Neodiprion lecontei: one gene and its partner. The main gene of each other region encodes a partner of the protein of the gene in region 2 in a complex. Links are inferred from orthologs where the notes say so. Each region holds a gene or a part of one and is shown on either strand. Other genes may lie near its edges.

Region 1 (6,600 bases), on a different chromosome or scaffold from region 2:
TATTTTATATGAATATATTGTCATTACAGGGATACTTCGGAGCAGTTGGTTGTTTATTACAATTTAATGGCAATACAAGTTAATCATGTCCTCCGGTCCGTGCCGTTACGTGAAGCATTCCCATGAAGATCAAATCTTGATAACTATTGCGTCTGGTCGCATGTTAACGAAGATTTGTAGATGATTTCTATTTATCGAATTTAGCCTTTTAATAATAATCTAAAGTCCGTAAGCAGAAATCAGTATTTTACTATTATTTATTTTTGTTATCGTTCTTACTTTATTTTAGGGCTCTCTACACGTTCACGAATATGTATATATGTATAATATATGCGCAAATTGAGTAAAGAAAAACGTGCCACGCTATTCGATTTGCAGTCACAGCCCATTGTTGACTTATCACAAAAATAGCAGATTTCATATAATTATTAATAATACAGTCTGTGGTTTCGAATCAATGGCTGCGCTTTCCTTTGTTCATTCTGTACACGTATCAAGTTTATATTATACAATCGTATTGGATAAAATTTTCAACATGTATTCATAAAAGAGATAAAAAAAAAAAAAAAACCATCATAGAACGTCCAAGGCTCAGGGCACAAATGTTTTAGTAATACAAAATCAGTTGTTGGACCAAACTGTACGTGAAAAGTGAAGAATTATTTATCACAATATTTTACAAAATAACTTACTTAATATTATTTTTAAGTTGTTGAATGATATTTGCAAGCTGTCGATGCTATATCTGAGTTTCTCGTACAATATTTGAAGAACTGGAAATATAGCTTGAATTATGAACTGATAATTCTTGCAAAAAATCGTAACTTACTGATAATGAATTTTGTCGTAATACTGATACGTAAGATATTGTACAGATTATGTAGAACATTTTTAAAAAATTCAATCTTATACTAACTCGTATTTTATTAGGTCTGGGAATAGTCGTTCTTGCATAATATTATATACAAAAGTAGTTCAATACTGTTTTCTTTTCATTTTGATAGTTTTATATAACGGGATACGTGTTGGTGAATTTTAATATGCATTACATTACACCTACATTACACCATATAAGACAATATTTAGGTAACGCGAATTGAATTGCTTGAGGCTCTAGCTGGGATATACTTGCTCTGCCTTAATTATCTGTTATTACACTGTTGAAATATGTACGTATCGTATGTACGTCGTTGATAAATCTCGACGCGTTATTGTATTTTATTTTCACTATATATGCGTGATAGTAATAAGCCTAACAAACTATAAGATTAGCAAAATTGTGTTACGCTTTCTCAGAGAAAGACTTTAGATAAATTGTATGTTTATACGAGTGTCACGAATCGATTGTTTACCTTTTTTGATCAATGAACCGGAGAAATTTATTAAATTATTGTCAGTACCAACCATAACGAATTTCGAGTTATTAAAATAGATGTAAATTACTTACTTCTTTTTTAAACGATCGTTTAGTTTCTGATATCATGTGAAAAGGGATTACAGCATATTTTATCTATTTAACTATAACTATGGGCTGCAGCTGGTACATTTGGAAAATAAGTAAAAGATCTCGCATCCTCCGTTCGCGCTATTATCGTTCATTATTCAAATCATTTTCAGTTGTCACTACATGTTCTGCCAATAAGATAGACATTGTTGTGAGTTATGATTTGTGAAACTGTTTCATTTATGTTTATAGTCAAATTGATTGAAAAAAAATTATTGAGTATACCTGTAATCTGTAATCTTATTTACAAGTAAACCCTAGAGAATTTTAATAGACAATTTGTAAAACATGTATAGTTATTGTCTATCTATTCCAAATTTGTTCATCTTTATTCAAATGATATTCTTTGCTAATACTAAATTGTCGATTCCAATTTTAAAAGCAACCAGTGGAGGCAACAGGTGTTTTTATCTATATATTCTTTCTATACTTGACGTTGCTTGGTAACCATAGACAAACAGTATGGCAACATTCTGAAGTTTGGTATTTTCATTGCTTTCAAAAGTTTTGAATTTTCGAATAACTTTACATCAGTATTCAATGATTGAATAATTGAATAGGTGTACGTACTACACTATCTCATTAAAGAAAAATTTATCGCAAACTATACATTGGAGTACAACTAAAGAAAGTATTGTCAACGTCTTTGTAAAAATTCACTAGCACAATGGTAAGGTTTAAAAATGATCCGTCAACTTATATGTTTTCTGTCAATGCCAATTTTATTAGTAAAAAATATCACTTTTTCTTATAGGGTCCTAAGAAAGGAAGAGGGAAAAAAATGGAATCTGTCGAAGGTGTAGATACATCGAAAATGAATAGAGAGCAGCTGGAAGTCTATTCGCATAAAATTTTGGAAGAAATGGAAAGGGAACGCGAAGAAAGAAATTTCTTTCAGCTAGAGCGTGACAAGCTGAGAACATTTTGGGAAATTACACGACACCAACTAGATGAAGCTCGTGCAACTATTAGGTAGTGTAAAAACGGAATAATACTTACTAATTCTTTGTCAAGAATCTTATGCAATGATATTTACGTAGAAATAAGGAACGTGAAAAAGAAGAATTAATTGAAAAGCACGAAGCTGAACTAAAGTTGTATAAGCAAAAAGTGAAACACTTGATGTATGAGCATCAAAGTAATTTGTCCGAAACCAAGGCTGAGCATATGGTTGCGCTCAAAATGGCTCAAGATGATCACATTTTGCAAGAAAATGAACTTATCAAAGATAAAAAGGAGCTCAAAAGAATGCGCAAAGAGCAAGAAATGGCACAAGTAGATGAAATACGCGAACTGAAACTGGTGCGTAGTAACGTAGTCTTTTATAAATTAGAATTTACCTTTCACCCATATTAATATAAGATTATATGATTATGTTCTTTCCCTCACTTAATAGGCAAATGCAGAGGAAATGAGTAACATGATGAAGAAGTTTGAGGCAGAAGCAATCGAACTGGAGCAAAAGTATGAGCATAAATTAGCCGATCAATACGAATCGCTGACATTGAAACATCGAATGGAAATAACTGAAGTAGAGGAAAGGAAAAACAAACAAATTGCGGATTTGATAAAAAATCATGAAAGATCATTTGCTGAAATGAAGAATTACTATAATGATATCACACTAAATAACTTGTCTCTAATTCGAAGCATGAAGGTGAATGGGATATGACCTGAAGTCAGATTTATTCGGTACTGTGATACACCCATCATTTACTCTTGAGAAAGTCAATTGATCCTTATATTTTAATCTGCTAGGAACAAATGGAAGTGATGAAAAATCACGAAGAGCGAATGAAAAAGCAGGTACGAGAATTGTCGATCGATAACAAAAAACTCCAGGCAGATCTGAAAATTGCTCAGGAACAAGTATCAGAATATAGTCGACAACTTCTGAATTACACCAAGGACAAAACGTGTTTGGCAGTGGGTGTTGGGGTTTATTCATTAATGCCAATTATCCAATGGCAGTTCACTGTTTTCACTTATTTATGTATTTTTGTTTGTATTAGAACACCAAGAAACGATTGACTGAAGCTGTGAAGTCACTAGAAAACCTGAAATGGGAGAACGAAGTGCTTGAGCTGCGATTCGAAAAGGTGACTAGCAAAATATGCATCCGAGTGCATCACCTGAAACTATCTCATAGGATTTTACTAACTGTGCACATTTTTCGTTTTTTGTAGTGTCAAGGTGAGCGTGATGAACTTCATTCCAGGTTCGTCTCAGCGATTTTAGAACTTCAGCAAAAGACTGGGCTGAAAAACGTCCTCCTCGAGAAAAAGTTACAGAAACTTTCTGACTTGCTGGAACAGCGAGAGGTCCAAATAAGTGAAGTGTTAGCTGCTGCTCAGTTAGATCCAGCGACTATTTTGAGCGTCAATCAGAAACTGGAAGTAAGTGTGACTATTCTGCCCTGTTATTTGAATACTTCAATTATCACTTAATAACTATTTTATTCTACCAGGAATTGTTAAATCGTAAAAACACAGCCATTCAAGATCTTCAAGTGGAATTAGCAAGAGTTTGCAAAGCACATGACGATCTTTTAGTGACGTGCCAAAGCAAATTACAGGAATATGGAATACCAGAATCTGGGATCAGCTTTCAGCCCATCAGAACCAAAGTCTTAGGTGCAAAAATGAGTCTTGTTTCTACCTCAGTTGTGTCTAATAATAGATGAGACATTAGACTGTATATAATATAAACTTTCGTACAAGGTCGTGTAAATAAAACATCAGCGTATATAAAACACGCAGTTGTCAACGTCCATACTATTAACCTTCTTGAAATATCGATCAGTACTACCCTGAGCATAAGTATGTATTTGCCATCAATGGCTATGTGAACAAAAATTTTTGTAGATGTGGGTTGAAAAATTGAATTTCCTTCGATGCACATACAATACTTTTATTCCAGAATACGGTAAACGATCGTCAGAAACAGATACATCTATTATCCTCAAATATTAGATAAATTTATCACAGAGGATGTACAATATGTATATATATATATTTATGTATATTTATATAGGTATATGCGTGTGTGTATGCGTCATAAAGATTAACGTGACATGTCCCCTGAAATGATGAGGCATACATTAAATTTTAAAAAAATCATATTTTTGTCAATATATTTTCCATTGTTTTCCTCATGTCTGCAAAACGAGAAGAGTTTTTTTTAATTGATGCTGTCGGTAGAAATAAACAATAACATTGAAAGATTTGAATTACTAAAGCCTTATGATTCGTCGGAACAAACATGCGCCACAAATTTTATAAGGTTTTACCATACATATACATACCTATTCGTGTATGAGTACAAATACGGCAATGTATGCGCTTTCAAATATACACTATAGACGTGTACATGGTTGGTAGTTTAGGTTTTTGCTGAATTTTAGTATAGATATTTTTGCGCGCGCGCGTGTGTGTGTGTGTCTTGTTTGTGTATTAGACATTTACTATTCTAAGTTTAATATTATTTTAAGTCAAATACGTCAGGTCACAGTTTATTAAATTTGAAACATTTATCAAGGCAGGACACAGATAAAACACTTCTCTGCGTATATAAGTTGAGAATTGGATCTTCCTTTTCTGAAATTTGAATGTATGTACGATATTTTTTCTCACAGGCCTCAATGGTTACAATAAACAATTATCAAGCTCTTTTGCAATTTTATGTATGTACTAATGAGGGTACATATTACAGATTTCAGATGAATCTCAAAATAAAGATGTGTTTTATAGTTTTCCTGCATTACGAATATATATATATATATATATATATATACATATATATATTTCTTCATAAATATCGTATTTTTGTTATTTTATATTTGTAAAGATATAATTTTATATAATAATATATAGTAATAATTTTGGCACAATAAGAAATAGAATCACAGATGAAATCATTGTACATCATGAGAGTGGTAGATGAATAGAATTGTACCGAATGTTGAAAGCAGACATAGTCCAGTAATAATTGCCTACAAATGTAATATAGTTTTCAATACTCCACGCCAATTCCAGACTTTCATACTTTCCGTATCATAGGGATTATAATATTAAGATTCACGGTTGAAAATTTCTTTCTCTAAGAAAACAACATGACTTAAAAACTAAGAAACTCCTTCATGCAGAAAAGATTAAATTAAAGCACCACAGTACGTTACAAAATGTTATCCATAATAATTTGACTTACTTTGGCAAATACGTTTTTCAACCTATCACAAATGCCATAATATTTAATAGAAGATAATATAGAGTGATAGATTTTCTTTTCCCGCACTTTTTATACTTTCATGTAGCAAATACATAGTAATTATCTGTGTATATAATATATATAAGATATAATATATATAATAGTCTCATTCCTCACGCCTGCTTCCAACAACTCGTTTTGTACAACATGTTACGATACTAAAGCTACATAGAAATGCTATGGATTTTGTTCTACATTACAACTTCAAAATAGCTACGCAAAAGCTAAAAACAGAAACTTACAGGGTACAAATTACATGGATCTTGGTATTAATATCCTAATCATTTGGTACTTTACTGGAAAAAGAATAAAAAGTTTTTACTCACAGGGCTTCCATATTTTTCGTTCAACTATTTTCACGTAAATCCTAATGTAGAAAAAATAATTATATGTTTAATATTAAATATATTATGGTCCATTGATCCTTTGTTATATATTTTGCTTTCAATTTTTTTTTCTAACAAAAAATATTTTTAATTCAGGTTACTTTGATTTTTAACAGGAGGAATAAAAAAAAAATCAAATAATTTCTTTGTTTTCGTAGAAAGGTTCGAAATTTTGTTAACTGGTTCACAAAATTGTGTCATCAGGGTACCATTTTTTAAAATTAAGCCCTGTTTATGCATACCCCTTACATCTATTTTATGTGTATTAATATGTGTGTATATACATATATATGTATATATTATATATTTTTGAACATGAATTACCTTCACTAGAAATTTAGCTACCTATTGACTGTACTACGCCAATGAATATACTTCCATGATTGTTGTACAGAGAGGACATTAAATGCTATATTGGTCTGGTATTGAAAAGGCTTGTAGAAA
Region 2 (6,638 bases):
TTATGAAGATATCATTGCAAAATCAAATACAATGTGAAAATCTTTAAGTCTCGGTATTCTGTGTGATAATATTAACTGTATTATTTTAGAATACAGATATTCTAATACAAATTTTGTTCTGCAGCTGGTGCAAGGTCCGCAACGAAGCATCAGTTAAGGAAGTCAGCACTCTCATGGCTTGAAAAAAATAGAGATTTTGATGTGAAAATATTCATTGGCTTCTTAGAGCAACCACAGGTACAAAAGGGTTTGGATATGTACATCCAGAGCTTAAAAAAGAAGTGAAACCGCTGAAGCTAACAGTAACGATACGTCATGCCATAACAGCCCCCACCTGACAGAGCTGTGATATATGGCGAATACAATAGATTTTTCTACTTTACAATGCAGATAAGAAATAAAAATATTTTGATATGAATTTATTTACCGTGAATTTTTTTGAGTATGTTATATTTGAAATAGGTACTAATAAACAGTAGGAATGGATAAAACGTTTATTGTTTATACATTTAATTCATTTTGTTCACAGTATTATGAAACAAACTGGCTTTATAAGAAATCAGTTGCTTTATGTTTTATTGCTCAAGTACTGCAGCAATATCTGGATCGTCAGTGTTCACGTATAACGGCTGCTGTAATTGTAGTGCATCAAATTCTTCCCGTTGACACTCAAGAAAATGGGAAATTTCTAGTATCTTCTGACGGTTCCGGTTACTTTCATTCCTTAAAACAGAAAAACGAAGACCACCTCGACTTTACTAATATGGTTACTACTCGAAAAATATAGGTCACAAATTCTACAGTCTACAGTCTATTTTAAAAACGAGACAGATCTCGTGTATCTTGGATATTTGTGGTTTAAATTATCTCAATAGTTATGCTGCTACTTACTCTGCCAATTTTTCAATCTTCCCTTCAAGCCAACCATTAAGTCGACTTGTTAGACGATCTTCACGCCCATCGATGATCTGAATAAGCAGAATTTAAAAGAATTTTATGAGAGCCCATGTCATTTATCATGTTGTTTTGATCATTATGCAACTGCTCGAAAAACGTAAGCGATGAAAAACGACATTTGTTGATTTTAAATAGCTTAATATTTATTCGTGCACTCAAATAAGCATATAAGCATACCTGGAGATGTAGATCATGGGATGCTGCCAAATTGTTATTCAAAATGTCCTTATCACCGATTATATCCGTTACACTAGGTGACATTTTACTATCTTCCGTAGCCTGACTTGTATTCATAACAACACTAGCTATTCCAGCAATGTTGTCGGTATATTCGGCTTCCAGATTTCTCATTAATGAGAATATATTCTGGGCTGCTTCTAAGAACGATCCAACCATATCTGTCATATGCTGTTTGAACACTTCGTTTATATCCTGCAGATATGTCATTGTTAATATATAATTATCAGTATTTGTTGCAATCAATACTTATAAAAAGCTGCAGGTCAAACGTCGCAAGTGTGTCTAATTGATTTGCTCGGTCAATATTAGTTTTATTAAGCAATAGGAGGTATTTGGAGAACTCTGATTACTTGTGCAATCCAAATCAAATGTTTATCATGTATGACTAACTTTGCCTTGTGTGAAACTATATGAATAGCTGAAAGGAATACCAGTAATTCATTCAACACCAGTGATAAATAAATGGATACACACTTCCATTTGGTCATGAAGAATCACTTCCTTGTGCATGAGCTTTGTCCAGGTTCTAGCCACCAAGTCACTGAATTCTTCGGACAGCTGACGAGCTTTGTCTAATTTTTCTTCGAGAACTTCAGTCTCCAACTCTTCAGTCATTGATTGCATAAGTGCTTTTACGTCTGCTAAGATTTCAGCCTTTCTATCCATTATTTCATCCATCATCCTTTATACAAAAAAATTTCAATTGAAAGAAATGCTAATAAATTTATTTGTCCGAAGAATATGATTAGCATTTTTTTGTGTATTTATACTTGTAATTTAATGAAAGTCTCATTTATTGTGAAATTGTTTTAATAGTATGAATAATTGACGAAATCTGTGATTTATTTTTACTAATTATTGACATTTGCGATTATACACTTTATATTCATATTATTATTATATGAATTATGTAAGGTATATCTGGTACTTACATTTGGGAATCTTTCTGAATGTCGTCTTCACCTTTAGTGACTAAATCTTCAAACATTTTTATTTCGTTGGACCTTCGGATTTGTTCAGCTAGCCCCAGTTCATACAAATCTTTGCAAAGTTCCATGAACTTTACTTTATACTCCGCATATGCAGATCGTGCATCTTCGCTGAGTGTTAAGAAGTCGTTACCTTCTGTAATGAAGTATTTCTGAATCAAAATGTGAATTTTACATATTTTCAGACATTCAATTTTCAAATATTATGGTAAAATTCACACTTAAGACGGAAATTTTATTTATTGAATATTTTTCTGCTTGAAAAGCCTGATAGGCATTGATAGATCACGATTAGATATTAAAGAATATCATAGAATACGAGCCACAAACACGATACACAGTGATAAGTCTATGGTGTTTCTGAAATCCATTCTATAATATTCTATTAGAATCTTACAAATCCTCTCAAACTTTTCCAGTAGGGCTAGATTAACGAAAAAAAAAATCGTATCCCAGACGAATAAGCGTAGTTTGATGCCAAATAGAAAGTATTGATGTCTTAAGATAAAGAGAATAATATTTAAGATATTGTTGATAAAAGCAAAAAGAATTAAAAGAGAAAATTTTCTTTCTTTCATAATTACCCTTGTCTTTTTCAAACATTTTATTGAACAAGTAGTCGTCATCGAGATATTCCACGTAAGATATGGATAATAATGCAACATTTTCCTCAAATGCTGCTTGCTTGTCCAACTTTTCTTGTTCTTTAGCTTCTTCTTCCAACAAATTACTAATGATTCGACTAAAACATTTAAGTATACAAACTGATTATCATTAATTCTGTTTAAACGCATCTAGGATAAAACTTGAACAATGCATTATTAATTTCTTCCTGCAATTCTTTTACTATAATATTTATATCCCATGATGGCCTGCAATATCTGGCGGTATTAAAAATACTCTAAATTATGAGCATGAGTGGATTTTTACAAATCAATCTAACTCTGTCGATTTACGGGAAATATGAAATTTACTAATGTTCATCAGCGGCAGCCTGGCGTTCTCGGTCCGTTATCATTTTGTACTGAAGATAGATTAATTGTGGTATAAAGGCAATCAAATAGTTCAAATATCCTTCTTTTTCCATGCACGAATTTCCAGAGACATTTAAACTCCGTAATTTTTTGAATTTCCGTAAATACATGACCTGTAAAAATTTAGCAATTATGCTGACCATGAAATTTAAGCAAATTGGAGCCCTACATATAGCTATCAATAATAATTTAATTACAGTGCGATAATTTAAGATTGGTTGATTCAATGATTGAAAAAGTATAAGAATTTCTAGGTGATAATTGACTAAGTTAAAAAAAAATAACAATAATAACAATAACACACATGATGCGAAATTAGAACTTATGTAGAAGAATAATGAATTACATGATGCCAATCGGCAATATTGTTATTTCCAATACTGAAAATTGTAAGTTCATTCAAATCGTCGATTCCCTGAATAAGACTAATTTGATTCTCATACAGCAATAAAATTTCCAAACATTTCAAATGGTTCAAATTCTCCATAGTTTCGATATGGTTGAACGACAGATCAAGCTCTTTTAAATTAATCAGGACATCCAAGTTAACAATCCTTTCAATTTTGTTGTTGCTCAGTTTTAATTTCACCAAGTTTGGCATTAACCATAGGTGGTCTATATTTAAAATATCTAAAAAAGATAAAAGTAATGAGTATAAGGAACTATTTTGTTCTGAAATAGGATTCGACACTACATTACAAAAAAAAAAAAAACAATTTAACAGCTAGCACGAAGTTTTCCGAGTCTTCATATTCGTACACTCGATGTAAGACCATCGACGTTTATTAATTTTTTTTCGACACCCTACCGCGCCCGTGTTGGATCCCACATAATATCCATAGGTTTCTTACTAAGAAATTCGATTCGAATTTCTGTCACTTCTTCCAGGTTTATCCCATCCTCTACGAACAATCTTCCAGCTTCCTTTTTTGGCCCTTGGTCAATTATTAAAGCCACGAGCATTTTTTGGTCTATCACCCCAGGTTCTGCGGATTCTTGCAATATTATCGGTTTGTCTTCAGTCTTCATAATTTATACTGCGTTCTAAAAACTCTTCGTTGTATTTTGTATGTTTAAATGAAATACAACGATGAAGAAACTGGTGTATGCAGTTGTACGAAACGTTAACTCACGTGAATAATTTTAGCATTCAAAATTCACGTATCAGCTAGTTCAAAATGTGGGATGGTCTGATGTAAAATTTAACCTTAGAATTCACATTTGCTTGGTATTCATATCAACAAAATAGTTTCCCGTTTCCATAGCGATATAGATATTTATACTTTCGTCGCAATGAGCCTGATGACATGACTCATTGAACATTACTATATCGATTCTTTGTTTTTGCCACGTTACAAAATGCACATTCAAGACTAAATCGAATTAAAAGCAATTAGATTTTAATGATAAAGCATTTTTTTTCGCATGATCGAATTCGAAAACTTTGAAAATGAGATTATAAAAATTCGTGATTGTTGAATTTCAAACTTTGCTCCGATTTGAAAATCCGATCGTAAATATGGCATCACGCCTCAGTTTTCAGGCAAAATGTATATTAAAAATAAGAAATTGTCGTAATAAATATAGACGCAATTGACGAATCCCAGTTCATTACACTCATTATCCGAACGATGTTGACTATAGGCATTACTTACGCCTCGTCTTCCGAGGCGTTTGAATATGCGTAGCAAGCATTCAATCGAGGCGGCCATTTTGATTTTTGAGCCAATAGGCGGTCATTTAGCGAAGCCAGTGCAGCTGCGTCACGGAAAATGGAGTACCATTGGTCGGGGAAAACATGATTTGACGTCTAGGCGCAGTACTCCATTACCACGGTGTCATATGATTATCTCTACGTGACACATCGGGAGAGTGAAAATTTGATAAACTGTTACTGTCCGACAACAATTTGCCGATAAATTTACCGTCAGGCTACTTACTTATGCGGCAGTAAGCCGAGAGGCAGTGTGCAAAGTTCTAACATCCAAATACGGTATAAAAGGAACAAAAAATGTCTTTTTTCGGTGTACCTGTGAATCCATTTTCGACGCCAGTTGGTCAGAGAATAGGTGAGATTCATAGTTCGTCGTATAAGCCTAGCTTTTTCCATGCCATTGTTGTTTTGACCATATATTCATTCGCCTAATTGGTTACTTACTGCATTATTACGTAAACGTTCAATACTATTGTCTTGGCGTGTCGCGATTTTTTTTAGTTGTTTTGTTTTATTGATTATTTTCTGCACCACATTGTTGTAGCACTCCTTAGCTTTCCTTTCTTTCTTTATTTTTTATATTCCCTTCTTCCTCTGGTTACCTTAGATTTACTAATGAACATTGAGGTGCACTAATTATGTAGTCAATTATCAGGAGCATAAGCGGAACGTTTAATTAGCGTAAATTATTATTGTCTATATTTTCTTACTGAGCTGCTTCAAAGGTGTGAACTGATGGAAACTTATCACAATTTTTGCAATAATATTCCTCTGAATAATGGTGCAATTATATTAGTAATTATATTTCCTTGAAAATATAATTAAATTACCTTGTATCATTGTCTGTTAATGGGCACTTGCCATAGAATCCAATTCACTTGAAACTAGATCTTGTTAACAGGTTTATATTCTATTTTTAGATGAAACTTATTCTCAGTGAATTCAAAAAATCTGCAAAAAAATCCACTCGCTGAAATTTTTTACTCGCATGTCGCAGCCTGCGTGGCAGTAGGAATATAAATGATGTCTACAAATTGAACCAATTATGCGCTGTTACTGTAACTCAACGTGTACTGGAATAATTGAGACATTGTGATATAAAATTGCAGAACAAGCTACAGATGGAAGCCTGCCAAGTGAGAATTGGGCACTTAATATGGAAATATGCGATATCATTAACGAAACTGAAGACGGACCTCGGGATGCAGTTAAAGCTATTCGACGGCGATTGAATCAAGCAGCTGGAAAGAACTATACCATCGTTATGTACACTCTCACTGTTAGTATTTGGTCCTTCTAATTTGTCTGCTATGGGCAAAAACAGAGTTTTCTTTCCCTTAACAGCACAATGTCATGAAGCTGAACCTAGTGGTTCCAGTTAGTCACTCAACATACTCAACTTTTTCCAAATGGAGTTCTGTAGTACAATTCAATACTTATGATTCTGTAAATGTATTAAACTTTCTAGAGATTTGAAGAAATTTTGAATTCTGAGCCTTCACATCATTTTGCTTTGATGATCTTTTTCAACTAACATTAGTATGCATAGCAGCTAATTTTGACCACTGGCTTGAACATAATTACCAACATGCACGTAATTATTATTCACCCCTATAGGTTTTAAGCATTATATTTTATTCTATGTGGTAGAAGATGAAATATTTTTGAACAGCAATAGCAACAACAGTTTCTTCCAATTGTCGT

What was found. Proteins that work in one complex are often made in the same cells at the same time.
Region 1: dynein regulatory complex subunit 3 (region 2) and dynein regulatory complex subunit 4 share a complex: the UniProt entries of both Homo sapiens proteins name them as parts of the nexin-dynein regulatory complex. The link is inferred for Neodiprion lecontei from reciprocal best matches to the Homo sapiens genes DRC3 and DRC4.

The regions. Positions count from the first base shown.
Region 1 is NC_060265.1:27,418,684-27,425,283, reverse strand, and holds dynein regulatory complex subunit 4, read left to right. Parts: upstream 1-1,856; 5' UTR 1,857-2,171; coding exon 2,172-2,174; intron 2,175-2,258; coding exon 2,259-2,476; intron 2,477-2,544; coding exon 2,545-2,806; intron 2,807-2,900; coding exon 2,901-3,161; intron 3,162-3,262; coding exon 3,263-3,430; intron 3,431-3,516; coding exon 3,517-3,603; intron 3,604-3,690; coding exon 3,691-3,900; intron 3,901-3,971; coding exon 3,972-4,187; 3' UTR 4,188-6,069; downstream 6,070-6,600. Other genes in the region: pantothenate kinase 3, read left to right, coding at 30-83. UniProt on the Homo sapiens protein: Component of the nexin-dynein regulatory complex (N-DRC), a key regulator of ciliary/flagellar motility which maintains the alignment and integrity of the distal axoneme and regulates microtubule sliding in motile axonemes.
Region 2 is NC_060263.1:21,534,842-21,541,479, reverse strand, and holds dynein regulatory complex subunit 3, read right to left. Parts: upstream 4,976-6,638; 5' UTR 4,876-4,975; intron 4,857-4,875; exon of another isoform or gene 4,354-4,856; intron 4,265-4,353; 5' UTR 4,250-4,264; coding exon 4,072-4,249; intron 3,851-4,071; coding exon 3,567-3,850; intron 3,334-3,566; coding exon 3,161-3,333; intron 2,929-3,160; coding exon 2,771-2,928; intron 2,323-2,770; coding exon 2,130-2,322; intron 1,880-2,129; coding exon 1,672-1,879; intron 1,390-1,671; coding exon 1,135-1,389; intron 969-1,134; coding exon 892-968; intron 724-891; coding exon 576-723; 3' UTR 503-575; downstream 1-502. Other genes in the region: enoyl-CoA delta isomerase 1, mitochondrial, read left to right, coding at 125-285; TOM1-like protein 2, read left to right, coding at 5,232-5,289, 6,044-6,213. UniProt on the Homo sapiens protein: Component of the nexin-dynein regulatory complex (N-DRC) a key regulator of ciliary/flagellar motility which maintains the alignment and integrity of the distal axoneme and regulates microtubule sliding in motile axonemes.